Linked DNA regions of Anolis sagrei. The protein of the gene in region 4 interacts with the protein of the main gene of each other region in a biochemical or structural test. Links are inferred from orthologs where the notes say so. Each region holds a gene or a part of one and is shown on either strand. Other genes may lie near its edges.

Region 1 (7,862 bases), on a different chromosome or scaffold from region 4:
TGGCTCTAATGCAGAAAGCAAGCAGATCTCTGTGGCTGCCACCTCTGCATAGTGGGCAGGTTAGGAGGAGGATAGTAGAGGAAAGACAGATGCTCGACTTTTCGCCAAAGTATATCAAGTGTATCTTGAGAACAAAACATTATTCAAGTCCTTTGAATAATGTCCACAATGACTCTGAGACCAAGGATGACATTTTAATGCAATCTGACACCCCTTTAACTGCCGTGGCTGAATGCTATGGAATCTTGGGAGTTGACGTTTTACAGGATCTTTAGTCTTCTCTGCAAATTTCAGGTTCCATAGCATTGAGCTATGGCAGTTAAAGTGGTGTTAAGTTACCTTAAGGGGAATGCATAGATGCACCCAAAAGGAATAGGTGGGAAGGAGGAACAAGTTTTGGGGAAATTTTCCTATGACAACTGGGAGGAAAGAACCAAAGGATGAGTGGGAAAGAGACCCCCAAATACGCACACAATGCAGATCTCCTCCCTGGCCATCCCCTCTGCATAGTCGGGAGGTTAGGAGGAGCCCAACCATCCACCAATATGTATCTTGAAGATGAAACACTAAAAGGAGGTCCTCTGAAGAATCTCCACATTATGAGGCCAAAACATGTACACAATCTGCCCTCCAACACCTACACCCCCAAAGAAATAGGCCGAGAAGAGAGTTGGGAGGAAAGAACCAAACCATGACTGAGGAGGAGGCTCCAAATACACACATACACAAAATGCAGCTCTCCTCCCTTGCTGCCACATCTGCATAGTGGGCTCTTTAAGAGGAGGAAAGACAGGAGCCCAAATGTATCTTGAGGATGAAACACTAGAAGGAAATCCGCTGACTATGGCTGCACCCATACTGTAGAGTTAATGCAGTTTGACGTCACCTTAACTGCCATGGTCAATGCTATGGAAGCATGGAAGTTGCAGTCTTACAAGGTCTTTCTCAGTCAAAGATTGCTGGGGTCTCACCAAACTACAAATCCCACAACTTTGAGCCATGCAGTGAAAATGGCATCAAACCACATAAACTCCAGTGTTTAACCCCAAAATAGGCACATCTCCTTTCCATTGGTGTGAAAAAGAGGAAATTTGTTGAAAACTTTCAAGGGCAGTTGAGAGGAAATAAATGGAAAGGTAAATAGGAAGGAGACTCCCAAAACACACACAAAACAAAGCTCTCCTCCCTGGCTCCCAGCTTTGTTTAGTGAGCACAGGTCAGGAGGCGACCAACCTTCTGCCACTGTATACCTTGAAGACTATGAATAAAAAGGAAATCATTTGAAGAAATCCACAAAACATGATCCTATAATCTCAACTCTAAAACACTTTCAATACATTGTTGTATTATACAGCAGTGAATGTTTGCCTTTTATGTCGTGAACCACCCTGAGTTCCCATGGGGAGATAGGGCGAGATAGAAATAAAAGTTTTATTTACTTTGTTTAATTTTTACTTACTCTCCCAACCCCCAAGTAGATTGAACAGAGAAGGAAGTTTAGGGGAAACTTTCTAGGGCCCTTCCACACAGCCATATAACCCAGAATATCAAGGCAGAAAATCCCACAATATCTGCAATCCCACAATATCTACTTTGAACAGGGTGATCTGTCTACACTGCTATATATCCCAGTTCAAAGCAGATAACTGGGGTTTTATTCAGCTGTGTGGAAGGAGCCTAGGAGAGGTGTGAGGAAAGAAAAGGAAGAGTGAAAAGGGGACCAACACAAACACACACATCATTGGAGTTCTAGTTTGGCAAGGTCTTCACTCTTCCTGTGCCAAAGAAGAGTGCCTTGCCAAACTACACATCCCATCGCATGGATCCATAGCAGTTAAAAGCCGTGTCAAAGTGCATCAATCCTAGTGTAGATCAGGCATGGGAAAACTTGGGCCCTCCAGGTGTTTTGGACTTCAACTCCCATCATTCCTAACATCCTCAGGCCTTAAGCAGCTGAGGGGGTAAAAGAAAGGGCTTGAGGCTGTTAGGAATGGTGGGAGTTGAAGTCCAAAACACCTCGGAGGGCTTAAGTTTGCCCATGCTTGATGTAGATGCATCCCCAAACTGGCACACAATCCCCTTTCCAGGGGCCTGCCAGACAGCCATATAACCCAGAGTATCAAAACAGCCTTATTCTTGACCTGCATCTTCTCCCACAGTGAGGGCATTGGTTTCCAGATGGAAGGCAGTCTCGGCCGGGGTTGGCTTGACGCGCCTTCCTCCTGGCACGTTTCTCTCTTTCACCCTCCATTCGTGCCTCTTCAAATTCTGCAGCACTGCTGGTCACAGCTGACCTCAAGCTGGAGCACTCAAGGGGCAGGGCTTCCCAGTTAGAACACTGAGAACTGGGAAGCCCTGGAATGGAGTCGTGGTAGTTAAAAGTCTAAGTGTAGAGATGCACATGACAACATACACACACACACATATTCCAATAAGGAGGTGGGGGAAGAGGAGGAAGTTTTGGGGAAACTTCCTAGGAAGGAGACTCGAAGCAGGCACGAGAGAGGATGGCGTCCAGGGAGACGTGGGCCAACTTGGGCCCTCCAGATGTTTTGGACTTCAACTCCCACCATTCCTAACAGCCTCAGGCTCTTTCCTTTTCCCCCTCAGCCGCTTAAGCGGCTGAGGGGGAAAAGGAAGGAGCCTGAGGGTGTTAGGAATGGTGGGAGTTGAAGTCCAAAACATCTGGAGGGCCCATGTTTGCGTCAAAGCGTCGCTTCAGCCCTGAAAGCGAGGCCTAGCGCTCTCCAAGGGACTCTGCGGGAAGCGCGGGGAGAGAGAAGCGCCCAGGGTGCTCACCTGCCTGACGGAGAGGGCTCCTCGGCGGGCCTGAATAATTCCGCCTCGGAAGGGGCCGCTCAGCCCCGCTCCAGGAGCTCCATGGAGGGCTTTCAAGCTCGTTCACAAGCCCTCAGAGGAGCCCCGCTTCACCATCCCGAGCCAACATGGCGGCCGCGGAGGAAGAGCTGTGAGGGGGGAGGCAGCAGCTGTTGCTGAGGGGAAACTCCGGAAGGAGAGGAGAGGACAGGAGAGGGCTGGTCTCACCCTTTCCGCGCAGCGCCCCCTGGCGGGCCCCTCGCCGAAAGGCGCCAGGTCCTGACTCCCCCGCCAATGGGACGGAGCCTGGACTTCGGAGCCGGAAGTAGGGAGAGAGGAGGGGAGGGGGAGAGGCTTCTCTCACTCTTTTCAAAGTGAAAAGAGAGAGTTGTTAAGGAACAGTCTTGAGAAAGCTTCCTTTGCAACTCTATTCCAGACTACACTGATTTTGTCGAAGGCTTTCATGGCAGGAATCACTGGGTTGTTGTAGGTTTTTTCAGGCTATATGGCCACTTTCTAGAGGCATTCTCTCCTGACGTTTCGCCTGCATCTATGGCAAGCATACTCAGAGGTAGTGAGGTCTGTGGGAATTAGGAAAAGGGGTTTATATATCTGTGGAATGATCAGGGTGGGACAAAGGACTCTTGTCTGCTGGAGCTAGGTGTGAATGTTTCAGCTGGCCACCTTGATTAACATTTGATGGCCTGGCAGTGACTGGGGCAATCTTTTGTTGAGAGGTGATTAGATGTCTCAGATTGTTTCCTCTCTGTTGTTTTGCTGTTGTAATCAAGGGCGGCTCAACCCATTACGCAAAGTAAGCATTTGCAGTATAGTTGATTTTGCCCAGGGGCGCTCTTGGGGGAAAATAGACCTTATAATATAATATAAATGGGTTCCTGAATGAAGTGCATACAACAAAAATACCACTTGTATAAGATAAACAATAATATAATTCAACAACAGTACATAAACATGCCGCACTGTTCAACCTCACAGCAACAACAAACAATATTGTGCAAATTTTAGTACAGTCGTATCTTCTTATGAGTAGCTTGTAAATCAGCCGTCCACTACCGGCTTCGGCCTACTAAAGGCCTTCTGGTGGACTGAAATTAATATATACATCAATGTTTTGCTCCAGTTGCATACATATAGACCTTGACATGTGCGAATTGTAGCTACTGGGATGTATAGTTCACCTACAATCAAAGAGCATTCTGAACTCCACCAGTGATGGAATTGAACCAAATATGGCACACAGAACTCCCATGACGAACAGAAAATATATATCAGTGATTGGTTGGGGGGGGGGGATACTGTTTGCTTACTGTTGAAAATTACCTAGGGCCACCTCTCGTTGTAATTTTTTTTAATACTGATAGCCAGATTTTGTTCATTTTCATGGTTTCCTCCTTTCTGTTGAAATTGTCCACATGCTTGTGGATTTCAATGGCTTCTCTTTGTAGTCTGACATCGTGGTTGTTAGGCCAATGGATACTCCACCTCAGACATCGGAAAAGCTGCAAGACCGAGAACAAGCCATGAGAGTAAAAACAAAGATCCACCCAGAGAAAAAGTGTTCTTGCCATTCATCATGGGAACCACTGAACGTATAGGGAAGCTGATGAGGAAACACAACATACAAACAATCTACAAACCCACCAAGAAAATCCAACAAATGCTACGTTCAGCAAAGGACAAGAGGGATCCTCTCACTTCTGCAGGAGTCTACCGTATATCATGCAGCTGTGGACAAGTCTACATAGGGACCACCAAACACAGCATTGCCCAAACACAAATTAAGGAACATGAAAGGCACTGCAGACTACTTCAACCAGAGAAGTCAGCCATAGCAGAGCACCTGATGGACCAACCTGGACACAGCATATTATTTGAGAACACAGAAATGCTGGATCACTCTAACAACTATCATGTCAGGCTGCACAGAGAAGCCATTGAAATCCACAAGCATGTGGACAATTTCAACAGAAAGGAGGAAACCATGAAAATGAACAAAATCTGGCCACCAGTTTTTAAAAAAACTCTAAAATTACAACAGCAAAACAACAGAGAGGAAACAATCTGGGACATCTAATCACCTCTCAACAAAAGATTGCCCCAGGCACTGCCAGGCCATCAAATGCTAATCAAGGCAGTCAGTTGAAACATTCACACCTAGCTCCAGCAGACAAGAGTCCTTTGTCCCACCCTGGTCATTCCACAGATATATAAACCCTTTTTCCTAATTCCAACAGACCTCACTACCTCTGAGGATGCTTGCCATAGATGCAGGCGAAACATCAGGAGAAAATGCCTCAAGAACATGGCCATATAGCCTGAAAAAACCTACAACAACCCAACACTGATTTGTTCAGAAAGGCAGTGGGACACACTTCTGAACACCATGCAGCTTGGAACTGTGTAGACGGGGCCTGGGCAAACTTGGACTGCAACTCCTACAATTCCTAACAGCCTATTGGTTGCACTATGGAATCCCAGGAGGTGTATAGTTTTACAAGGGCTTTCGCTTTTGCCAAAGAGTGCTAGGTCAACAGATTAACACTTGAAGAAACTAGGGGCTCTTCCACACAGCCATATAACCCAGAATATCAAGGCAGATAATCCAGAGATCCTCCAGGAAGTAGCAGCCAATAATCATAGAGAAATAATAATAAGTTCCTGGGAAAAATTGAGAGCCAAATTGACGAAGAAAAAACATGGCTGTGGCTTACAAATGGAACTTTGAAAAAGGAGACAGAGGGCCTGATTCTGGCAGCTCAAGAACAAGCCATTAGAACCAATGCCATCTAAGCCAGAATTGGTTTTTGCTTCTTCCAGCATGCTGGCATTTGTCCGCCTGTCTTCCCAAAAGTTTTGCAGGATTTTGCAGAAGCAACACCAATGGAATCGTTCCAGGTGTTGCATGTGACATCTGTAGATAGTCCATGTTTCACAGGTATATAGCAGAGTTGGGAGGACAATAACTATATAAACAAGCACCTTGTTATCCCTACAGATATCCCGGTCCTCAAACACTCTGTGCTTCATTTGGAAAAATTCTGCACTCGCAGAGGTCAGGCAGTGTTGTATTTCAGTGTCAATGTTGACTTTTGTGGAGAGGTAGCTGGCAAGGTAGTGGAAATGGTCAACATTTTCTAATGTTACACCATTAAGCTGTATTTCTGGCATTGCAGGCGGATTGGCTGGTGCCTGCTGGAAGAGCACTTTGGTTTCCATTATAATGAAATTGGTTTATAATGAGAACCACCACTCCTTTTAACGTTCCCCCAGTAACGGCAATACTATCCCTCTGGGCAGCTAAACCAGGAAATCCTAAATGAATGGCCACCCCCCCCCCCCGGGTCTTCCTCCAGGGGCAAACCAAGAATGGACAACTTGGAAGTCCCTGAACAGACCCAGAAGTGGAGTGGATCGATCAAAAGACAGCCTGGCAAAATGGCACTACCTAAAAGAATCCCCCACCTTGTATGACTGGAGCAGAACAGACAACTCTGCATCTGTATGCTTGTCCACTATGCCCTGCCTCATGTACAAAGGAAGAATTGTTGGAGGCTACAGACAATGTTGTTGCTTTTGCCCGTTTTTGGTCAAAAGATATTTAGCCACTTGTGCTCCTTCTATTTTCATCTGTTTTATACTAATTTATGCAATGCTTTTGATAAGAAATAATAATAATAATAATAATAATAATAATAATAATAATAATAGAACCCTTGAGTTGAAAGAGACCTAGTGGGCCATCCAGTCCAATCCCCTGCCAAGAAGCAGGAAAATCGCATTCAAGGTACCCTAATAATGCATGCACTGTATTATATAGAATTATAGAATTATAAAGTTTGAAGAAACCACATGGCCCATCAAGTCCAAAAGCATATTCAAAGTAATCCCAACAGATGGCCATCCAGCCTATGTTTAAAAGACGGAGCCTCCACCACACTCCAGGGGGTAGAGAGTTCCTCTGCTGAACAGCTCTCACAGTCAGGAAGTTCCTACTGAAAGGACCAAGGCAGTGACATCTCCGGCCCACCCTCTGTCCAGATATCAGCCAGCACACCAACACATTAAATCAAAAAATAATTTTCTAAGATGTACAGAGACACTCACAGGAACACTTCAGCAAGCGAGAGTCCAAAAGTGGCAGGCTAAAACCCAGCACTTCAATTAGTGGCTGAAACTGGGTGTGAGACTCCCTCCTGGGCACACAGAAATCTGGATGACCTGGAAGGTTCTGAACAGGCTGCGCTCTGGCACCACCAGGTGCAGAGCCAACCTTAAGAAATGGGGCCACAAAGTGGCCTTAACTATTGGCCAGCTGGAGAACCTAGGAAGACCTGCAGCAGCCACAAGCTCCAGAAGATACATAATCTCCAAACCCCCTTTTATGAGTTACATAGTAACCAATGTGTTGTTGTAGGCTTTCATGACCAAAATCACCACTGTGAGTTTTCCAGGCTGTAGGGCCATGTTCCAGAAGTTCTCTCTCTCTCTCTCTCTCTCTCTGGTTTCCTGTTTTATTTGTATAATGTTCCAACTGTTTTCTGTATTTTTCCAGCAAGACACTCAAAGTTAACTATCCAGTGGATGAACTGAGCTCTATTTGGGACTTTATAAAGAAATATCCATAAGACCATACAGGTAATTCTTCACTAGAAAACCAAAGATGTTCACTGAGCTACACTTTTAGCAGAGCTACACCAGTTGCTTGCCTTAATGCAGAGATAGGACAAGTACATAGTAACACCTTAATAAATAGACACCTCGGTGTCCTTTTGCTCTCATACTTGTTTCACTGTAGCCTTCATTGTGTCCTTTTTGCTTTCCTTTTTTACTTTCACAGCCTACCCCGGTTATCATACAGCCCCTCCATCCCAAGCAGGGCTTCTCTCCCCTCTCTTTCCCCCTTTTCATTGCCCCTTTCCATGCCCCAAACTTGGGCCAACCTCTGTACCCTCAAAGATCCCAGTATCCACTGATTAGGTGATATGGGGCCCCTTGTGTGTGTGTTTTAATATTTTGTGTTTTAT
Region 2 (7,009 bases), about 79 Mb from region 4:
TTTTTTAAAAAAAAAATAAATAAATCTAAAAAGCAAATCTTGATCTTGAAATTTTATATAAGAGATACCATTCCAGGACCTGAGCACAGGGTACCTGGAACTAACCCTCAGCAGATATGAAGTGCCCACTGTAGTCATGTATTGTACAAATTTACTTGGTCCATTTAGCCCATATTTATCATCTGGCTCCTGCACTTTTCTCTCAGCCTTGTCCTTGCAACTGTTTTGCACAAGCCCCTGCCTCACCTGTCAGCTCAGTACATGGCCTCTGGGATAGGCTATTGGTTGTTTTGATGGTTTGATTGTTGATGGTTATGTTTTTATGAGGTTTTTTATTTGAATTTTACTGTGTTATATTTTAATTTTTGTCTGACTGGGCTTGGTTCCCATGTAAGCTGCCCAAAGTCCCTTCAGGGAGATGGTGGCAGGATAAGAAAGTAAAGTTGTTGCTGTTATTATTATTACTACTACTACTATTTCTGTACAGCTGCTGCCTTTTGAAAAATTAGACAGAAACAAAGAAAGAGCAAAACAGTCACAGAAGTTTCTGGAATGTCTGTTTTTTGTGCAAGGAGAAAGGATGGGAAGGGTAACCTGAAAATACTGTTTCCAGAAATCCATGTCTGTTTGTGTGTGTAAAACTAGTGTTTTATCACAGAAACAAGAGTTTTTTCCCCTTCCAAGTTCTACTATATGTATTATGGGGTAAGAGAAAACCCATAAGTCCCAATGACAATCCTAAGACAATCCTAGGAACTACAAAGCAGACAATCCTAAGACAATCCTAGGAACTACAAAGCAGAGAAAAAAGAGTGATTTTTGTCACCCTTTACCTTCAATTTCCCTTTTATCATTCCAAGAGACTTCTGTCTCTGCCATGGTCTTTTCTTTCTTTCTCCATCTTTCCTATTCCTTCCTTCCTCTGTTTCCAAATCTGTGTGTACTGGACTTTCCCCTCCTTCCTATTTTTTTTTTACTTGCCATCATTGCTATTACCAACAAACCAACTTTTTTATTCCTTTCCCAAATGGAATTGTGCTCCAATTCATTTTTTTTGAATTTAATTCCAGACATGAGGGTGGTTGATGAATGGGGGCGATTAATAGAAAGAAAACTGATTGGATTGAATTGGATTTGGCTGGAAAATGGCAAATTAATTGGGGGTAACCCCATGAGTCACCCTTAGTTGGCTGTTTTTCACACTAGTTCATAGCTATTGCAAATTAATTGTAATTGGAGAAAACAACTAACTTGAGATGATCAAGGGGGGATGAGACGCAAATGAATTGGATGATATATTTTATTCACAGTGATTTCAATGGAAAATTAATTGCCTAGCTTGGCCATGTGTGCAATTATTTCTGAGTTTGCATGTGTAGTTATAAAATTAGCTCACACAACTCTGGAAATGAAATAGCTTTTATATTTCCTTCCGTGTTCCTGAAGCCTCTCTATCCTTGCTTCCTGCTCACCAGCTTCCAAGGCCTGAGCAACATTATAAGATCTACATGGCTTGGGTCCAGAGTTTCTGAAATACCATAAATGAACCAATAAGAGCCACACCAAGCTTCAAGATCAGCAGGGGAGTTTTCCCTTGGTCCTACCCTTGGTCATGGGCTCATTTGGGGAAAACACATAAGGGAACCTTTTCAGTGGCTTCTTCCAAGTCATAGAAATCCCTTCCTCAGAAGGTCCAGTTGTCCCTACTCTTGATGGTTTTCTGTTAACATCTATAGACCTATTTATTTAATGAGACATTTGGTTTGTTACGTGCCAAGAGGAAGGAGTGTCAAGCCAACTCTGATCGGAACCACCTTCCACCTGGAAATCAATGTCCACACTGCGGGAGAACATGCGGGTCAAAAATAGGGCTCCACAGCGACCTACGGACCCACCACCAAGAGACTACACTTGGAGGATTTGAACCACCAACCTTTCGGTCAGCAACCTCAGCAGCTCAGCATTTCAACCCGCTGTGCAACTGGGGGCTCTTCAAAAAGGTGAAAGACTTTGTAAAACTTTCAGGATTCCCTTGCCAGTTAAAGCAATGTCAAACTGTATTCATAGATGCATCTCCCCCACCTCCACGCTTTTGAAGGAGGTGCCTAGGCAAAGATACTTTCAGTGGTGCATCTATTAAGCCAATTTGACATCACTTTAACTGGCTATGGCATCGTGAGTTTTACAAATGTTTGGCCTTCTTGGCTAAAGTGGGTGGGTACCTCACCCACACTTCCAAGATCTGACAGCAGTGGTTCTCAACCTTCCTAATGCTGCAACCTCTTAATACAATACCTCATGTTGTGGTGACCCCCCAACCATTAAACTATTTCCATTGCTACTTCATAACTGTAATGTAAATATCTGATATGCAGGACGTATATTCATTCACTGGACCAAATTTGGCACAAATACCCAAGAAGCCCAAATTTGAATACTGGTGGGGTTGTGTGTGTGTGAGAGAGGGGGGTATTGATTTTTTCATTTGGGAGTTGTAGTTGCTGGGATTCATAGTTCACCTACAATCATAGAGCATTCTGAACTCCACCAACAATGGAATAGAACCAGTCTTAGCACAAAGAACTCCCATGACCAACAGAAAATACTGGAAGGGTTTGGTGGACATTGACCTTGAGTTTTGGAGTTGTAGTTCACCTACATCCAGAGAGCACAGTGGACTCAAACAATGATGGATCAGGACCAAACTTGGCACGGATACTCAATATGCCCAAATGTGAGCACTGGTGGAGTTTGGAGAAAACAGACTTGACATTTTGGAGTTGTAGTTGCTGGGATTTATAGTTCACCTAAAACCAAAGAGCATTCAGAACTCCACCAATGATGGAATTGAACTCCCATGACTAACAGAAAATATTGGAAGGGTTCGGTGATCATTAACCTTGAGTTCTGGAGTTCTAGTTCACCTACATCCAGACAGCACTGTGGACTCAAACAATGAAGAATCAGGACCAAACATGGCACGAATACTCAATATACCCAAATGTGAATGCTGGTGGTGTTTGGGGAAAATACAGCTTGACATTTGGGAGTTATAGTTGATGGGATTTATAGTTCACCTAGAATCAAAGAGCATTCCGAACTCCACCAATGATGGAACTGAACTAATCTTAGCACACAGAACTCCCACAAAGAACAGAAAAAACTGGAAGGGTTTGGTGGTCATTGACCGTGAGTTTTGGACTTGTAGTTCACCTACATCCAGAGAGCACAGTGGACTCAAACAATGATGGATCAGGACCAAACTTGGCACGGATACTCAATATGCCCAAATATGAACACTGGTGGAGGTTGGGGAAAATAAGAGTTTGGCATTTGGGAGTTCACCTAGAATCAAAGAGCATTCTGAACTCCACCAATGATGGAACTGAACCAATCTTAGCACACAGAACTCCCACGAAGAACAGAAAACACTGGAAGGATTTGGTGGTCATTGACTGTGAGTTTTGGACTTGTAGTTCACCTACATCCAGAGAGCACAGTGGACTCAAACAATGATGGATCAGGACCAAACTTGGCACAGATACTCAATATGCCCAAATGTGAGCACTAGTGGAGTTTGGAGAAAATAGACTTGACATTTGGGAGTTGTAGTTGCTGGGATTTATAGTTCACCTAAAACCAAAGAGCATTCTGAACTCCACCAATGATGGAATTGAGCCAAACTTTTCACACAGAACCCCTATGACCAACATAAATACTGTATTTTCTGATGGTCTTTGGCGACCCCTCTGAGACCCCCTCGCGACTCCCCCTGGGGTCCCGATCCCCAGGTTGAGCAGCACTGCCCCCCAGCATGGACCCCTGGCCATTCAAGTGCGTCAGCCCGCCTTCCTCTCTGGCTCTGGCTGGGAGGGCTGAGGTTGTCCTCCTGCGCTCCATCTCGCTGAAGTTCCCCAGGGCTCTCCCCCCCCCCCCAATTCCTCCCCCTTCCCTCCTTGGCAAGAAGGACGCCAGGAAAGGCGTGTCCTCCGCTTCCAAGCCCGAGCCGTGGAAGGAGGCAGCTCGCAGCTATATAAGAAAGGCTCCGACTGCTTCGCACAGTCCTCGCTTTGGCGGAGCTGAGAAGGAGGGCGGCTGTGCCAAGGCAAGGCAAGGCAAGGCAAGGCAAGGAAGCGCGTGGGTGGCGGGTCCGGGGCGAGGAGGGTCGCAGAGCCAAGCGAGGGAGAGCCCAATGCACGGACTAGCCGCCTTCGCAACATGCTGGAGCTACAGAGGCGCTAACAGGAGTTTGCACACAGCTGCTGAGGCGGGATTGCAGCGCTCTCTTTCCTTATGAAGACGGCACAAGTGAGTAGCCAAGCCGTGGAGGAGGAGGAGGAGGGGGGGGGGTGGCACTTCGCCCCTCGAGGGCAGCCTGGCACCGGTTTGCCTCGCAGAAGCGTGGGTTGAGGGGTTGCCTTCTTCCACGTGCGTTGGAAAACTGACCCTTTGCACACACACACACTCACATCTCTATGGGCATCAGTCGTCACTGGCGGAGAACTTGCCCAGTTTGCCAGGCTAGGGAAGAGCTGCCATGCCAAGGTGCCTTCCTAGTAGAAGCTTTGTCCTGGTAACTTGCCCAGGGAGAGCTGCCATGCCAAGGTACCTTCCTGGTTGAAGCTTTGCCCGGGGGCTTCCCTCCCTTGTTGCTTCTCTGCCCTGTCCTTTGTACATGATGGAGCTGGGGAAGTTCCTGCCTCTCCCTGGTAGGACCAAGGCACTATAAATAGTCAATGCATGATCAGGGTGTCTGCTAGGGTTTGGTTCCAGGACTCCCATGGATACCTAAGTCCCCTTATATACAATGGTGTTGTAGGTCAATGGTCTTCCATGTATACAATGGCAAAATCAAGGGGTACTTTTCGGGTTTTTTTTTTTTTCAAATCCTGGATGGTTGAATTCATGGATACAGGATTTATGGCAGTGGTCTCAACATTCTGAATGTCGTGACCCCTTAATACAGTTCCTCATGTTGTGGAATGACTGATGGTGCAGTGGGTTAAACCACTGAGCTGCTGAACTTGTTAGATTGAAAGGTTGCAGGTTCGAATCCGGGGAGCGGAGTGACCTCCTGCTGTTAGCCCCAGCTTTTTTCCAACCTAGCAGTTTGAAACATGCAAATGTGAGTAGATCAATAGGTATTCTGGCAGGAAGGTAATGGCATTCCATGCACTCCATGCGGTCATGCTGGCCACATAACCTTGGAGGTGTCTACCTCCAAGCTCTTCAGCTTAGAAATGGAGATGAGCACCAACCCCCAGAGTTGGACACGACTGGACTTATTGTCAGGGAAAAATGCTTACTTTTATCTCATGTTGTGGTGACCCCTCCCAACCATAAAATTATTTTTGTTGCTACTTCATAACTGTCATTTTACTACTGTTATGAATTGTAATGTAAATATCTGATATGTAGGATGTATTTTCATTCACTGGACCAAGTTTGGCACAAATACCCAACACACCCAAATCTGAATACTGGTGGGGTTGGGGGGTGGATTTTGTCTTTTGGGAGTTGTAGTTGCTGGGATTTACAGTTCACCTACAATCAAAGAACATTCTGAACTCTACCAACAATGGAATTGAACCAAACATGGCACACAGAACTCCCATGACCAGCAGAAAATACTGGAAGGATTTGGTGGGCATTGACCTTGAGTTTTGGGAGTTGTAGTTCACCTTCATCGAGAGAGCACCGTGGACTCAAACAATGATTGATCAGGACCTAACTTGGCACGTATACTCAATATTCCCAAATGTCAACACTGGTGGAGTTTAGCAAAAATAGAGCTTCACATTTGGGAGTTGTATTTTCTGGGATTTATATTTCACTTACAATCAAAGAGTATTCTGAACCCCCACCAACTATAGAATTGAGCCAAACTTCCCACACAGCACACCCATGACCAACAGAAAATACTGTTGAGAAAAACTGATCTATGGACAAGCAGTTTGGCACTATGATTCCATTCAACCTGCCCCATACAACAGAATTGGCAGAGATGCTGCCATGTAAAAGCATGCAATGGGCCTGCTTTGGACATTGCTCAGTGCCCACTTCCCTCTATCCTTGCCACTTCTATGCATTTTGCATCACACTCTGTACATTTATTGGCTCTGGTTCCATTTCCTCCCCACAAGGTGGCAAAGGATATATTCCCATTGATAGATGTATAGAGATGGACAAGGGGCATTTTCAGAGAAAAAGGGACTGGAAAATAAAATTCTGTTTTTATGTATAGATAACTGGTTAGCAAGCCAGGCCATGAAACAAAAATATTGTGACCGGTCCATCTCCAGCCACGTATTTGTGTATATCTGCCATTGTCTCTTTGAGTGACAGAGCCAATGCTTTCCCTTCCTCACTGACTTTTCTCAAAGGTTTATACTTTTCTTTACTCTTTTCTCCGAGGCACTTGCCATTTACCATTTTAGACACAGAAAAAGGCTGCAATAGAAGAAAGAAAGAGAAAGAAATCTAGGCTGGGGTCAGAAAACAAAATATTGATTTTGGAAATTTCAGATTTTTTAGAAAACCATCCATTTGTGAAACAGTAACTCCTTGGAATTGAGGGAGGAGGGTTGAAATGTTGCCATCACAGTATTTTTCCTTTTAAAATGTGTTAATGCCTGCTGGGTTGTTCTCTCATTGTCTTCCCATTATAATGGGGAATAAAATTCTTCAGAACATTCTATGGCAGGGCTGGGGAAGTTTGAACCACATATTTTAATTTACAATTAGGAGCCCCTGGTGGTGCAATGGGTTAAACCCTTATGCTGGCAGGACTGCTGACCAAAAGGTGGTTCGAATCCGGGGAGCAGGGTGAGCTCTCATCTGTCAGCTCCAGCTTCCCATGCGGGGACATGAGAGAAGCCTCCAACAGGATGGTAAAACATCTGGGCGCCCCCTGGACAACGTCCTTGCAGATGGCCCATTCTCTCCTGACACTCCTGACACACACAAACAGTGATCATGTTGGGTGGGCTTCTGGAAGCTGAATGCCAAA
Region 3 (7,751 bases), on a different chromosome or scaffold from region 4:
GAGATCCCATGGGCCATCTAGTCCAACCCCATTCTGACATGCAGGGAAAGCACAATCAAAGCACCCCTGACAGATGGCCATCCAGCCATGATGATGATGATGATGTGGGAAGAGACCCCATGGGCCATCTAGTCCAACCCCATTCTGACATGCAGGGAAAGCACAATCAAAGCACCCCTGACAGATGGCCATCCAGCCATAATGATGATCATAATAATAATCATAATAATAATAGAGTGGGAAGAGGCCCCATGGGCCATCTAGTCCAACCCCATTCTGACATGCAGGAAAAGCACAATCAAAGCACCCCTGACAGATCCAGCCTCTGTTTAAAAGCTTCCAAGGAAGGAGCTCCCACCACACTCCCAGGCAGAGAGCTGCACTGCTATACACACACACACACACACGCACACATATATATTAATATTGCTATATCTATAAATAATACTAATAGTATATTATAGACAGAAATACAAATAATACAATACTGTTATTATTAATACTATATATATTATAATATTAACCTTACTATTAATTGTATATATTATTAATAGCACATCGTATTTATATATATACACACACACACACATACACACAAAATACAGTACTGTTTATATTACTATATATATACAAATAATAATACAGTACTGTTATTAATACTATATATTAAAATTAATATTGACATTAATAGTATTAATAGTATATTTTATTAATAGTACTTAGTATATATATATATATACACACACACACAAATAATACAGTACTGTTAATATTACTATATATAATATCAAATATGATATTATACATAGGAATACAAATAATAATACAGTACAGTTATTAATATGAATAGTAACTCTTTATAGAGAGAAAGACAAATAACAGTACTCATATCAACACTATATGTTAATAATGTGAATATGATATTATAGATAGAAATACATATAACAATACAGTACTGTTATTAATATGAATAACACTATATATTGTAAATATATTATTTGTATATATTTACAAATAACACAATACTCATATCAATACTATATATTAATAATGTGAATACAATATTATAGATATTATCCAGTATTGTTTTATTTATTTATTTATTTATTTATATCCCACGTTATCTCTCCATATGGAGACTCAAAAGTGGCTCACAATCAAAACCATTACAACTTCAAATATACAAAAATAAAACAGTATATCATGATATATTACTATATATTATCAGTAGTAATTATATTTAATATTAGTATTTAATATTATAGATTGTTAGATTGTATTATTATATTGCATAACATAATGTAACTATCAATATATTATTATTATATATTATTTGACTGTATTATTATTATATTATATTACATTATCACTACATTGTACTACACCACTATGCTGCAATATTATACTTAATATATTAGTATTACTATATTACAATATTATTATATATTAGATTGCATTATAAGTATATAGCATAACATTATATTATTATCAATATAATATTATTTTATATATTATTAGATTGTATTATTTTTAATATTATATTGTGTTACATTATTACTATATTGTACTATACTACTATATTGCAATATTATGACATTTAATATATTAGTATTACACGATTACAATATTGTTATTATATATTATTAGATGGCATTATTATTAATATAATTGTAGAACATTATAATATTATCAATATTATATATTATATTATATATTATATTATTAGTAGTATTACTATACCACTATACTTCAATATTATATTTAATATATTAGCATTAGTATATTACAATATTATTATTATTATATATTATTAGATGGCATTATTATGAGTATTTTGTATAATATTATAATATTATTATCAATATTATATATTATTATTATATTATATATTATATTATATTAGTATTAGTATTACTATACCACTACACTGCAATATTATTATATTCAATAGATTAGAATTACTATATTACAATATTATTATTATTATTATTATTTATTGGATTGATTATTATGAGTATTTTGTATAACATTATCTTATCAATATATATTATTATATATTATTTTATATTATATTAGCATTACTATACCACTATACTGCAATATTGTTATATTTAATATATTAGCATTACTATATTACAATATTATTATTATTATTATTATTAGATGGTACTATATTAATATAGTACCATCTAATTAGTATTATAGAATATATTGTACTATATCACAAGTTGTAGCCTATATAACATATCATATTACAATATTATTAATAATAATAATATGATGTATATAGTGATTAGAATTAATAATATGAATAGTATATACCAAGCATGGGCAAACTTCGGCCCTCTAGGTGTTTTGGACTACAACTCCCACAATTCCTAACAGCCTACCGGCTGTTAGGATTTGTGTGAGTTGCAGTCCAAAACAGCTGGAGAGCCGAAGTTTGCCCATGCTTAGTATGTATGAATAGTAGCAATACTATCAGTAGTAATAGTATGTCAGGATCAGGATGTGTCTTTTGTTGCAGCTCTGCTGTCTTCCAAGAGACCCCCGTCCTTGGAAGCAGTAGCGAACTACAACTCCCAGGGCTGGGCGCGGTCTTACCGGCTCCTGGCTGAGCAGCAGGGGTTCCTTCTCCTCCTCCTCCTTTTCCTTTGGCTGCCGCTGCATGGCGCCTCCAGCCGGCCTCTGGGTCCCGCGCCTCGCCGCCCGCGCTTTTATGCCGCTTTGCTTGCTTACGTCGAAGGCGCCGCCGGGCGGGGAGCCCTTTGCCCATACTCCCCGTCGGGAAGCAGCAGCGCTGCCGCCGAGTGCCGCAGCCTTCCCTCGGCAGGAAGAAAAGCCCTAGCCGACGGGAGGAGCGCTCCGAGGCGCTGCCCGTCGGAGCGCGCTTGGAAAGCTACTGAGGCGAAACTCAAGGAACGCTGCTGCTGCTGCTGCTGCCGCCGCTCTTCCCTCTCGGCTCTTCCGTCTTCCCTCCCTCCGCCCGCCCCGCTTCCTTCTTGCCTTTTTGGACGGCTCCGGCCGGAGGGAGGGAGGGACGACGGAAGAGCAGCAAAAGAGGCGCGTGCTGGGAAGGGAAGGCAAAGGCGGGGGGGGGGGGGTGGGCTCGCACACTTCGACGGAAAAGCGCCTGACCCGAAGGAAACTAAAGAAATTTTAAAAAAAAGTGAAAAAGGCGGGAAAGGCTAAAAGCGCCTCGCGGCTTCGTCCCTCGCCCTTTCTGAGGGGCCCCTAGGGGCCCTGCCATATAGCCAGAGTACCCAGAATAACAAGGCAGAATAACCCACAATGTCTATCTGAGGGCCCCTTTTACACAGCTGTAAAAAATCCCACCTTGTCTGCTTTGAACTGGAATATATGACAGTGTGGACCCAGGGCCCTTCCACACACCCATATAATCCAGGCCCCTTCCACACAGCTGAATAAAATCCCACATCTGCTTTGAACTGGGATATATGGCAGTGTGGACTCAGATAAGCCCCCGTGATGCAGTGGGTTAAACCCTTGTGCAGCAAGACTGAAGACTGACAGGTCAGAGGTTCGAATCCGGGGAAAGCTCCCTCTGTCAGCTCCAGCTCCCCATGCAAGGACATGAGAGAAACGTCCCACAAGGATGGTAAAACACAAAACATCCGGGCGTCCCCTGAGCAATGTCCTTGCAAACGGCCAATTCTCTCACACCAGAAGCAACTTGCAGTTTCTTAAGTTAGTCCACACACACACACACAGAAAACCCAGTTCAAAGCAGATTTTCTGCCTTGATATTCTGGATTATATGGCTGTGTGGAAGGGCTCCCAGAATATCAAGGCAGATAACCCCACAATATCTGGTTTGAACTGAAATATATGGCAATGTGGACCCAGGGCCCTTCCACACATCTTTGTCCGTAGACGCCTCCAAGGTCATGTGGCCAGCATGACTGCATGGAGTTTTCAAAGTGCTAGGTTGGCAGAAGCTGGGGCTAACAATGGGAGCTCACCCTGCTCCCCAACACAAGTTATCAAATAACTAGCCCACTTCCACGGCCTAACTCAATGCACGAGGAAGGCCTAGCTGGCCATTTTCCCTTGCAGGATTGTTGTGAGGGGAAAATCAAGTGGCGCTTTCCAGAAGGAACACTGTTTTGTTTCGTCTTAATGTCACATCACACACTCTGCAAGTGCAGCATTCTTCCGAATAAAGCAGAGAGTGTTTGAGGATCGGATGTTAATAGGGAGACCAAGATGCTTGCTTATAAAGCTATTGTCCTTCCAAGTGTATCAAAACGGACCATCTACAAACATCACAATTGACTTCTCCATCAGCTTTGCCTCTGAAGAACCTGCCAATCTCTTTGGAAGACAGGCGGACAAATGTCAGCGTGCTGGAAGAAGCAAAGACCACCAGTATTGAAGCGATGCTCCTCTGTTATCAACTCAGCTGGACCGAAAGCTACATTGCCCGAATGCCCAAAGATCATAGTCTCCCAAAGTAGTTATTCTACTCCCAACTCAAGAACGGAAAACAGAATGTTGGTGGACAGGAAAGGACATTGAACAATGTGCTTAAAATAACAAAGCCAGTGGACCTGATGGGATCCCTGCTGAAATCTTTAAAGGGGGTGGACCTGGGAGAAAAGAATAAAGAGGAAGAAGGCGCTTCAAGCCAACCCTTGTTGGAGCCACCTTCCATCTGGAAATGGATGTCCTCATTGTGGAAGAACATGTGGGTCAAGAATGGGTCTCCACCGCCAAGACCCTATGCTTGGAAGACCATGATGATGATGTCCAGCACCGCTCCCTACTTCTTGGGTTTTTTTTTTAATTCCTCATATCTTGTCCTCTGAAGTGTTTTTGGACTGCAATTCCCATCAGGGAGGGACAATGGGAGGGGCAGCCTTGTCCTGGCTTGAAAGGCCTGAAAAGGAATGTTGTTTGGCATGACTTTGCAGCAGTTTAATGCAATGGAGCCCCAGCTCAAGGAACCCTGGGAGTTGTAGTTTGCCTTAAGGAGAGAAGGCTTATCCAACTACAACTCCCAGGATTCGTACAGAGACAGCCCTCATTCCACCTCCTCAGTCCAAAAGGATGTGCTTTAAGAGGGGCAGGGTTTCTGAGCAAGCGCAGAGTGCACTCCTCTTACAGCTCTTTCCAAATAGCCTTTCTGATAGGCTTTTGGCCTGCATTTGAAGAGAAGACACAAAGGATCAGTCTCTATTGCAGAGTTAATGCAGCTTGACTGCACTGGAACTGCCTTGGCTCCATGATGTGGGACCCTGGGACTTGTAGTTTGGAAAAGGAGGCTAAAGATTCCATTGCCTTGAGCCATGTCAGTTCAAGCGGTGCCAAACTACATTAAGTCTACAGTATAGATGGACCCAGAGCTTTTTGTATCCCAAAAGGAACTGTCACTCGCTTAAAAGTCTTCAATGTCTGACAAGTAACACTATCAATTCCTTCTACAGAAAAAAACAGTCCAAGCCCTGGTTTGAAACACCTTGCCTGAAAGACAGAAAGCACATCTATACTAACACAACATACAAACAATCTACAAACCCAACAAGAAAATCCAACAAATGCTACGTTCAGCAAAGGACAAGAGGGATCCTCTCACCTCTGCAGGAGTCTACTGTATACCATGCAGCTGTGGACAAGTCTACATAGGGACCACCAAACGCAGCGCCCAAACAAGAATCCAGGAACATGAAAGGCACTGCAGACTATTCCAACCAGAGAAATAAGCCATAGCAGAGCACCTGATGAACCAACCTGGACACAGCATTTTATTTGAGAACACAAAAATGCTGGACCACTCTCACAACCACCATGTCAGGCTACACAGAGAAGCCATTGAAATCCACAAACATGTGGACAATTTCAACAGAAAGGAAGAAACCATGAAAATGAACAAAATCTGGCTACCAATATTAAAAAATTCTAAAATTGCAACAGCAAAAACAGCAGAGAGAAAAACAGGCAGGGACATCTAATCACCTTTCAAGAAGAGTTTGCTCCAGGCACAGTCAGCCCATTGTATGCTAATCAAGGTGGTCAGTTGAAAGATTCACACCTAGCCCAACTTACAAAAGCCCTTTGTCTCACCCTGGTCATTCCACAGATATATAAACCCCTTTTTTCCCAGCTCCAGCAGACCTCACCTCTGAGGATGCTTGCCATAGATGCAGGCGAAACGTCAGGAGAAATGCCTCTAGAACATGGCCATATAGCCCGAAAAAACTCACAAGAACTGACACATCTATACTGTCAAATGAATGCAATCTGACCCTGTTTTAACTGCGACAGAGCCCTGGACGTTGTGGCTGGGCACTATCTTTGGCCTCCTCTGCTCAAGAAAGCCAGGGCTTTGCTAAACTACAACTCTGGGGCCTTTGCTGCATTCAGAGAAAGACAGAGCGACCCAGGAAAAGGTCGTTTTGACCCAACTCCTTAGGATCATTAGCTGCTTCCCCTCCTCTCCGCGGGCTTTACATATTGCCTGAGCAACATGTTGCATAATCCAAGTGTTTTTGTGCAATCCAAGCATGGATAAAAGAAGCCGAATGAAAAGAGTTAAGATGACTGTTATTACGAATAATAGCCGGATGCAACTCTCAGCAATTCTTAATAATAAGAAGGAATGGACAAGTGCTGGGCCCGAGTGCCACCTGCTGGCCACTTGAACACCTCAAAGCCATCTTGGGCTTTTGTCTTAATCCACCTTGGAAAAATGGCCTTTTGGGGATTGTGGCTTCCAATGCTGTCTGCGGATGCTAGGTGTTGTTATCTTTTGACCCCCAAGTGGCTGATTTAGAATCCCGTGGATATAGTATCACATGGAACCGAGCTATTTCTTAAGGTAGCAATTAAATTAATGGAGAGCCAGCCTGATAATGTAGCTGGAGGCTAGCGATCTGTGTCCGTGTCATCGATGGACCGCTGGCTGACCCTTGGGCAATTTCCTGGTACATCTACAGTCACTCAGTGCGATTGTCCACAATGCTCATCTCGTCAGGGGAGTTAAAAATAGGAATTAGCAGGTAGGGCGTAATTGTGTATATTGGCCTTGTTTATGCAGCAATTACCTCCATTTCGCTGCACTTACTCCCATTTGTTGGTTAATGGATCTCAATAGCCACTCAAGACCAATCCGGCTCAAAAACACTTCACTGTGCCCAGCTTTGTCTGTCCTAAGGTGCTCTTGGGTGAAAGCTGAAAACAAGGATGCTTTAATTGGCCATAATTGGGTTTGGCTGAGGCAACCATCCACGTAACCAGCAGGTGGCACGGCCGCTTCACCGATCAGGCCAGGGGAAGAAAAGGGGATATTTCCAATAAAGTGGTGGACCAAAAGCTGGACTGATGAAAGCAGGCAATGCTTTCTGACGACAGCGGCTGGGGGGGGGGGGGGGGTCCTGCTAAATTTGATGTTCCAAGTCACCTTTGTTTTGGAGCAGGCCTGGGCCAACTTGGGTCTTCCAGGTGTTTTGGATTCCTAACAGCCTCATGCCCTTTCCTTTTCTCCCTCAGCCACTTAAGCAGAAAAGGAAAAGGAAAGGGCCTGAGGCTATTAGGAATTGTGGGAGTTGAAGTCCAAAACACCTAGTGGGCCCAAGTTGGCCCATGCCTGCTTTGGAGGCTCTGAATAATTCCTGGATGAAAAGCAGAAACTGCTTGTTTTGCTAGGAAATTGTGAACGTGGTCGGCAGGGGGCACTGCAAGCCTAGTTATTGGCTCGGCTCCTGTTCCCTGCCATTACTGATATTCTTGGT
Region 4 (7,339 bases):
TTCCCTGCTTCGGGAAAATGGGTGTGTCTGTGCAAGCATCTCTGAATGCTGTGATACCTATTCAACTGCAATGGAATCCTGGAATTTGTAGTGTACTGAGGCACCTGCACGTTTGGGCAAAGCAAGCTCAAGACCTTGCAAAACAAACAAACACTCCGGACTCCATAGCATTGAGCCAGGGCAGTGCAAGTGGAGTAAAGGTGCTTGAAATCTGCAGTGGAGATGCACCCCACGACACAGATAATGATGAGGATGAGGATAATACAGGTATGGGCAAACTTAGGCCCTCCAGGGGTTTTGGACTCCAACTCCCACAATTCCTAACAGCCGGTAAGCTGTTAGGAATTGTGGGAGTTGGAGTCCAAAACTCCTGGAGGGCCCAAGTTTGCCTATACCTATGATCATCTATATATATAAAAATGCTGTTCATTTTGAGTGACATAACTCAAAAACCGCTGGACTAATTGCCACCAAATTTGGCCACAAGACACCTACTAACCCAAGGAGTGATCATCACTCAAAAAAATTAATTAAGTCATTTGGGAGTCGTAGTTGCTGGGATTTATAGTTAACCTACAATCAAAGAGCATTCTGAACACCACCAATGAATTGAACCAAACTTGGCACACAGAACTCAAAAGACAAACAGAGAATACTGGAAGGATTTGGTGGGCATTGACCTTGAGTTTGGGAGTTCTAGTCTATATATATATAAATGTAATGTTCGTTTGTGGGATTAACATAACTCAAAAACTACTTGACGAATTGCCACCAAATTTGGCCACAAGACACCTACTAACCCAAGGAGTGATCATCACTAAAAAAATTAATTTTGTCATTTGGGAGTTGTAGTTGCTGGGATTGATAGTTCACCTACAATCAAAGAGCATTCTGAACTCCACCAATGATGGAATTGAACCAAACTTGGCGCACAGAACTCCCACGACCAACAGAAAACACTAGAAGGGTTTGGTGGGCATTGACCTTGAGTTTTGGAGTTGTAGTTCACTTACATCCAGAGAGCACTGTGGACTCAAACAATGATAGATCAGGACCAAACTTGGCACGGATACTCCATGTGCTCAAATACAAGCACAGATGGAGTTTGGGGGAAATAGACCTTGACATTTGGGAGTTGTAGTTACTGTGATGTACAGTTCACCTACAATCAAAGAGCATTCTGAACCCCACTAATGATAGAATTGGGTCAAATTTCCCACACAGAACCAAAAATACTGTGTTTTCTGGTGGTCTTTGTCGACCCTTCTGACACCCCCTCACAACTCCTCCAGGAATCCCGACTCCCAGATTGAGAAACACTGACTTAAGACCATCCAGTCCAACTCCCTTCACCAAGGCAAGAAAACATAACCAAAGCCCTCCTGACAAAGAGCCATCCAGCCATAGATATAGATAGATAGATAGATAGATAGATAGATAGATAGATAGATAGATATGTTGACACACACATATATGTAGATGACAGATATAGTGTCATAGATTTGAAATGGCCCACTAAAGGACAATCCAGCCATAGATATACACAGATTTACATGATTCACACGCACACACATTTATGTATATGACTGATATAGTATCATAGTTTTGAAAGGGACCTCTAAAGAAGGAGATACGATAGCCATGTATAAATATGTGAGAGGAAGCCACAGGGAGGAGGGAACAAGCTTGTTTTCTGCTTCCCTGGAGACTAGGACGCGAAACAATGGCTTCAAACTACAAGAAAGGAGATTCCATCTGAACATGAGGAAGAACTTCCTGACTGTGAGTGCCGTTCAGCAGTGGAACTCTCTGCCCTGGAGTGTGGTGGAGGCTCCTTCTTTGGAAGCTTTTAAACAGAGGCTGGATGGCCATCTGTCAGGGGTGATTTGAATGCAATATTCCTGCTTCTTGGCAGGGGATTGGACTGGATGGCCCATGAGGTCTCTTCCAACTCTATGATTCTATGATTCTAAGGACAATTATATGTCGCATGTTCCAGAGTAGGCAAACCTGACAATCTCCACATCAACACTGACAAAGAAACAACAAGCATAAAGAAATTACATATATTAGAAACCAACACTTTCTCATTACTTTATTTTCCAAATCACCAGACTTTTCTTTTTTTTGGTCGTGTCAGGAGCGACTTGAGAAACTGCAAGTCGCTTCTGGTGTGAGAGAATTGGCCATTTGCAAGGATGTTGCCCAGGGGACGCCCGGATGTGTTTGATGTTTTATCATCCTTGTGGGAAGCTTCTCGCATGTCCCCGTATAGGGAGCTGGAGCTGACAGAGGGAGCTCATTCGTACTTTCCCCGGATTTGTGAGAGAATTGGCCGTCTGCAAGGACGTTCATCAGGGGACGCCCGGATGTGTTTGATGTTTTATCATCCTTGTGGGAGGCTTCTCTCATGTCACCGAATAGGGAGCTGGAGCTGACAGAGGGAGCTCATCCGCGCCCTCTCCAGATCTGAACCTCTGACCTGTCGGGTCTTCAGTCCTGAGGGCACAGGGGTTTAACCCACTGCACCACCGGGGGATCCAGATTGAGCCACAGCAATGCATGGCAGGGGACGGCTAGTATATTGTAATAATCAATAATAATCAATTCCTGGCTCCCTCGCGCGCGCCTCAGGGACGCTTCCAGCTCTTGGGATGCAACTTCAAAGCCAAGCCTTTGGAAGCGGCACCGAGGAGGGCGTGGAGCGCCTAACTCAAGCCGGACCGGGGAAAAGAAGCGAGCGAGGCGGCGCTGAAGGAGCCTTTGCTTCAGGTGCCCTAACACACGCCCCCTCCCTTCCTATTCCGCTTCACCCCGCTCACCCACCTGTTGCCGGGCAGCCCAGAAGCGCCGCCAGCCAGGCCACTTCGAGAGCCCAGGAGGCTTTCATGACGCCAGCAGCGAGCGTCCCTCCCGACGGACCGACTGACTGACTGACCTCTTCCAAAGCCAGGCGAGGAGTGAGAAAGGAAGCGCGGGCGGCGCGCGACACATCCAACCTCGGATGCCGCGCGCGCTGGCGGGAGAGGGAGGGAGGGGGCGTCCAACTCCCCCCTCCGGCTTCTCCCCTCCCTCCTTCCCTTTCTCTCTCTCTCTCTCGCAGCCACGCCCCTTTGTTTCTCCCTCGCTCGCTCGCGCACCCTCTTTTCTCGCCTCGCGCGCGCCTCAGGAAGACCGTTGGGCGCTTGCTCCCAGCTCTTGTGTCTGAGGCAGTGGGATTCTCTCCCCTTTTGTGGAAAAGTCAATTGCCTTTTCAACACATAATAATAATAATCACAACGCTACGTAACACGGTTTCAGTGCCTGACTTATCATTGCCATTTCCTAATTGGTCCTGTCATAAAAACATGGGGAAAGTTTATTAAACTACGAACACTTTATATAGGGTGCCTTTCCACATAAACCCCCCAGTTCTAAATGCCTCAGGAAGGGAAATGCCAACCCTATATCCCAGAATACCAAGGCAGGAAATCCCACATTGACTGAGTGTGGACTCAGACAACCCAGGGCCTCTCCACACAGCCCTATATCCCATTATATCAAGGCAGGGAAACCCACATTAACTGAGTGTGGACTCAGATAACCCGGGGCCCTTCCACACAGCCCTATATCCCAGAATACCAAGGCAGGAAATCCCACATTAATTGAGTGTGGACTCAGATAACCTGGGGCCCTTCCACACAGCCCTGTATCCCAGAATATCAAGGCAGGAAATCCCACATTAACTGAGTGTGGACTCAGATAACGGGCCCCTTCCACAAATATATTCCCAATATATATTCCCAAATATCAAGGCAGGAAATCTCACATTAACTGAGTGTGGACTCGGATAACGGGGCCCTTCCACAAATATATTCCCAATATATATTCCCAAATATCAAGGCAGGAAATCTCACATTAACTGAGTGTGGACTCGGATAACCTGGGGCCCTTCCACACAGCCTGGGGCTCTTCCACGCAGCCCTATATCCCTGAATATCAAGGCAGGAAATCCCACATTAACTGAGTGTGGACTTGGATAACCCGGGGCCCTTCTACACAGCCTGTGGGCTTTCCACACAGCCCTATATCCCAGAATATCAAGGCAGGAAATCCCACATTAACTGAGCGTGGACTGAGATAACCCAGGACCCTTCCACACAGCTCTATATCCCAGAATATCAAGGCAAGAAATCCCACATTAACTGAGTGTGGACTCGGATAACCTGGAGCCCTTCCACACAGCCCTATATCCCAGAATATCAAGGCAGCAAATCCCATATTAACTGAGTGTGGACTCAGATAACCCGGGGCCCTTCCACACAACCCTATATCCCAGAATATCAAGGCAGGAAATCCCACATTATCTGAGTGTGGACTTGGATAACCTGGGGCCCTTCCACACAACCCTATATCGCAGAATATCAAGGCAGGAAATCCCACATTAACTGAATGTGGACTCAGATAACCCGGTGCTCTCCCACACAGCTCTATATCCCAGAATACCAAGGCAGGAAATCCCACATTAATTGAGTGTGGACTCAGATAACCTGGGGCCCTTCCACACAGCCCTGTATCCCAGAATATCAAGGCAGGAAATCTCACATTAACTGAGTGTGGACTCAGATAACGGGGCCCTTTCACAAATATATTCCCAATATATATTCCCAAATATCAAGGCAGGAAATCTCACATTAACTGAGTGTGGACTCGGATAACCTGGGGCCCTTCCACACAGCCTGGGGCTCTTCCACGCAGCCCTATATCCCTGAATATCAAGGCAGGAAATCCCACATTAACTGAGTGTGGACTTGGAAAACCCGGGGCCCTTCTACACAGCCTGTGGGCTTTCCACACAGCCCTATATCCCAGAATATCAAGGCAGGAAATCCCACATTAACTGAGCGTGGACTGAGATAACCCAGGACCCTTCCACACAGCTCTATATCCCAGAATATCAAGGCAAGAAATCCCACATTAACTGAGTGTGGACTTGGATAACCTGGAGCCCTTCCACACAGCCCTATATCCCAGAATATCAAGGCAGCAAATCCCATATTAACTGAGTGTGGACTCAGATAACCCGGGGCCCTTCCACACAACCCTATATCCCAGAATATCAAGGCAGGAAATCCCACATTATCTGAGTGTGGACTCGGATAACCTGGGGCCCTTCCACACAACCCTATATCGCAGAATATCAAGGCAGGAAATCCCACATTAACTGAATGTGGACTCAGATAACCCGGTGCTCTTCCACACAGCTCTATATCCCAGAATACCAAGGCAGAAAATCCCACATTATTTGAGTCTATGGCAGGCATCCTCAGAGCTTGTGAGGTCTGTTGGAAACTAGGCAAGTGAGGTTTATATATCTGTAGAATGTCCAGGGCTGGATAAAGAACTCTAGTCTGCTTGAGGCAAGTGCAAATATTTCAGCTGGCGAGCTTGATTAGCTTTGAATAGCCTTGCAGCTTCAAAGCCTGGCTACTTCCTGCCTGGGGATCCTTTGTTGGGAGGTGTTACTAGCCCTGATAGTTTCTTGTCTGGAATCCCCCTGTCTTCTGAGTGTTGTTCTTTATTTACTGTCCTGATTTTGGAGTTTATTTTTTAAATACTGGTAGCCAGATTTTGTTTATTTTCATGATTTCCTCCTTTCAGTTGAAACTTCGCTTATTCTGAGAGAGGTCTAACAATCCATGCATTGCTACTGATACAGGTTGAGCATCCCTTACCCGGAATTCCAAAATACACCCCAAAATCCAAAATTATCCACAAGAGGGCCTGAGATAACAAGACCTTTGCTTTCTGATGGTTTCATGTATACAAACTTGTGCTTCATTTATATATATATATTTAAAATATATATTACATAAACTTAGTTGGAGGCTGTTTATAATTTTGGGTTTAGACTTGGGTCTTATGTCTAAGACATCTCCTTGTGTGCAAATATGCAAATACAGGAACCCAAAGAACCCCAAATCCAAAGCACTCTGGTCCAAGCATTGCGGATAAGAGATACTCAACATTTGTATGCTAAAAAGTAAACCAAGTATCCATAAATCACATTAGTCACTCTCGGTTGGCATGCCAGTCTTTCGCAGAGTGCAATTGAGCATACCCAACTCACAGTTTCCACATTTAGGAATAGTTCAGCATGGCTGCATCTGGGCCGGCTCCCTAATGAAAAACAGTGAAGCCACCACTTCTCAGGTGGCAACATCTGAGCCATTTCCCCATCATCTTTCAGCCCTGGCAGTTTCTTTATAAGGAATAAAGGCTATAAAGAAGAGGAACAACATTTTTCGACAACACAGATCCAGCCCTATTATATCAGGCTAGATCTACACTGCCATATAAAATCCAGATTATCTGCTTTAAACTGGATTATATGGCAGTATAGATCCAGCCTCAGTCACCAAAATGCCTTAGGGTGATCATGACCTGGACTCTGCTAATTTTTTCCCCATTTCTCTTATGGCATTTTTATTGAAGAATTGTGAATGTTAAGAATGTGTGGTATTGGATTGCCGTGTCAATGGGTAACAATAGAATTGTAAGCATTTGAGTAAGGCTGGATCTACACTGTCCTATATGCCAGGATCTGATTCCAGATTATCTGCTTTGAACTGGATTATATGAGTCTACACTGCCAGATAATTGTGGATCGGATCTGTGATATAGGGAAATGTAGATCCAGTCTAAGACCCCTTCTACACTGCCTTATAATTCAGATAATCAAAGCAGATAATCCATACTATCTGCTTTGAACTGGATTATGAGTCTACACTGCATATAATCTAGTTCAAAGCAGATAATCTGGATTTTATATGGCAGTGAAGTAGGGGCCTAAGACTTCTCAGAGACTAGTTAGGCTCCTTCCACACAGCTGGATAAATCCTATATTATTTGATTTGAACTGGAATATATGGCAGTGTGGACTTAGATAACCCAATTCTAAGCCAATATTGTGTAAATTTCTGCCTTGATATTCTGGGTTGGTTTTTTGTTTTTGTTTTTTTCGTGTCAGGAGTGACTTGAGAAACTTTTTTATGATAAAATATCAAAACATTCAGGTGTCCCCTGGGCAACATCCTTGCAGACGTCCAATTCTCTCACACCAGAAGCGACTTGCAGTTTCTCAAGTCGTTCCTGACATGACAAAAAAAATTGGATCTGGAGTTCTAGAGACAAGTATTGGTTGGCGAGACCTGGAAATTTGGGAGACTGTATCTGTGGCAGTGACAACATTGGTAGAAGTCCACTTTGTGCAGCAGTGGCCTATCATTCCGTGATAAAACTCAGTGCTGATCAAAATTGACCATGTGACCTTCTTTACAGAGAAAAGTCCTCTATTTGA

What was found.
Region 1: the proteins of KIT (region 4) and YES1 form a complex in vitro, tested with the Homo sapiens proteins (2 studies listed by BioGRID and IntAct, with this or other methods). The link is inferred for Anolis sagrei from reciprocal best matches to the Homo sapiens genes KIT and YES1.
Region 2: the proteins of KIT (region 4) and KITLG form a complex in vitro, tested with the Homo sapiens proteins (3 studies listed by BioGRID and IntAct, with this or other methods). The link is inferred for Anolis sagrei from reciprocal best matches to the Homo sapiens genes KIT and KITLG.
Region 3: the proteins of KIT (region 4) and SH2B3 form a complex in vitro, tested with the Homo sapiens proteins (2 studies listed by BioGRID and IntAct, with this or other methods). The link is inferred for Anolis sagrei from reciprocal best matches to the Homo sapiens genes KIT and SH2B3.

The regions. Positions count from the first base shown.
Region 1 is NC_090024.1:61,126,264-61,134,125, forward strand, and holds the start of YES1 (tyrosine-protein kinase Yes), read right to left. Parts: upstream 3,022-7,862; 5' UTR 2,800-3,021; intron 1-2,799. UniProt on the Homo sapiens protein: Non-receptor protein tyrosine kinase that is involved in the regulation of cell growth and survival, apoptosis, cell-cell adhesion, cytoskeleton remodeling, and differentiation.
Region 2 is NC_090025.1:152,739,734-152,746,742, reverse strand, and holds the start of KITLG (kit ligand), read left to right. Parts: upstream 1-3,988; 5' UTR 3,989-4,293; coding exon 4,294-4,308; intron 4,309-7,009. UniProt on the Homo sapiens protein: Ligand for the receptor-type protein-tyrosine kinase KIT. Plays an essential role in the regulation of cell survival and proliferation, hematopoiesis, stem cell maintenance, gametogenesis, mast cell development, migration and function, and in melanogenesis.
Region 3 is NC_090034.1:30,911,734-30,919,484, forward strand, and holds the start of SH2B3 (SH2B adapter protein 3), read right to left. Parts: upstream 3,022-7,751; 5' UTR 2,671-3,021; coding exon 2,605-2,670; intron 1-2,604. UniProt on the Homo sapiens protein: Links T-cell receptor activation signal to phospholipase C-gamma-1, GRB2 and phosphatidylinositol 3-kinase.
Region 4 is NC_090025.1:74,176,259-74,183,597, forward strand, and holds the start of KIT (mast/stem cell growth factor receptor Kit), read right to left. Parts: upstream 3,021-7,339; 5' UTR 2,891-3,020; coding exon 2,827-2,890; intron 1-2,826. UniProt on the Homo sapiens protein: Tyrosine-protein kinase that acts as a cell-surface receptor for the cytokine KITLG/SCF and plays an essential role in the regulation of cell survival and proliferation, hematopoiesis, stem cell maintenance, gametogenesis, mast cell development, migration and function, and in melanogenesis.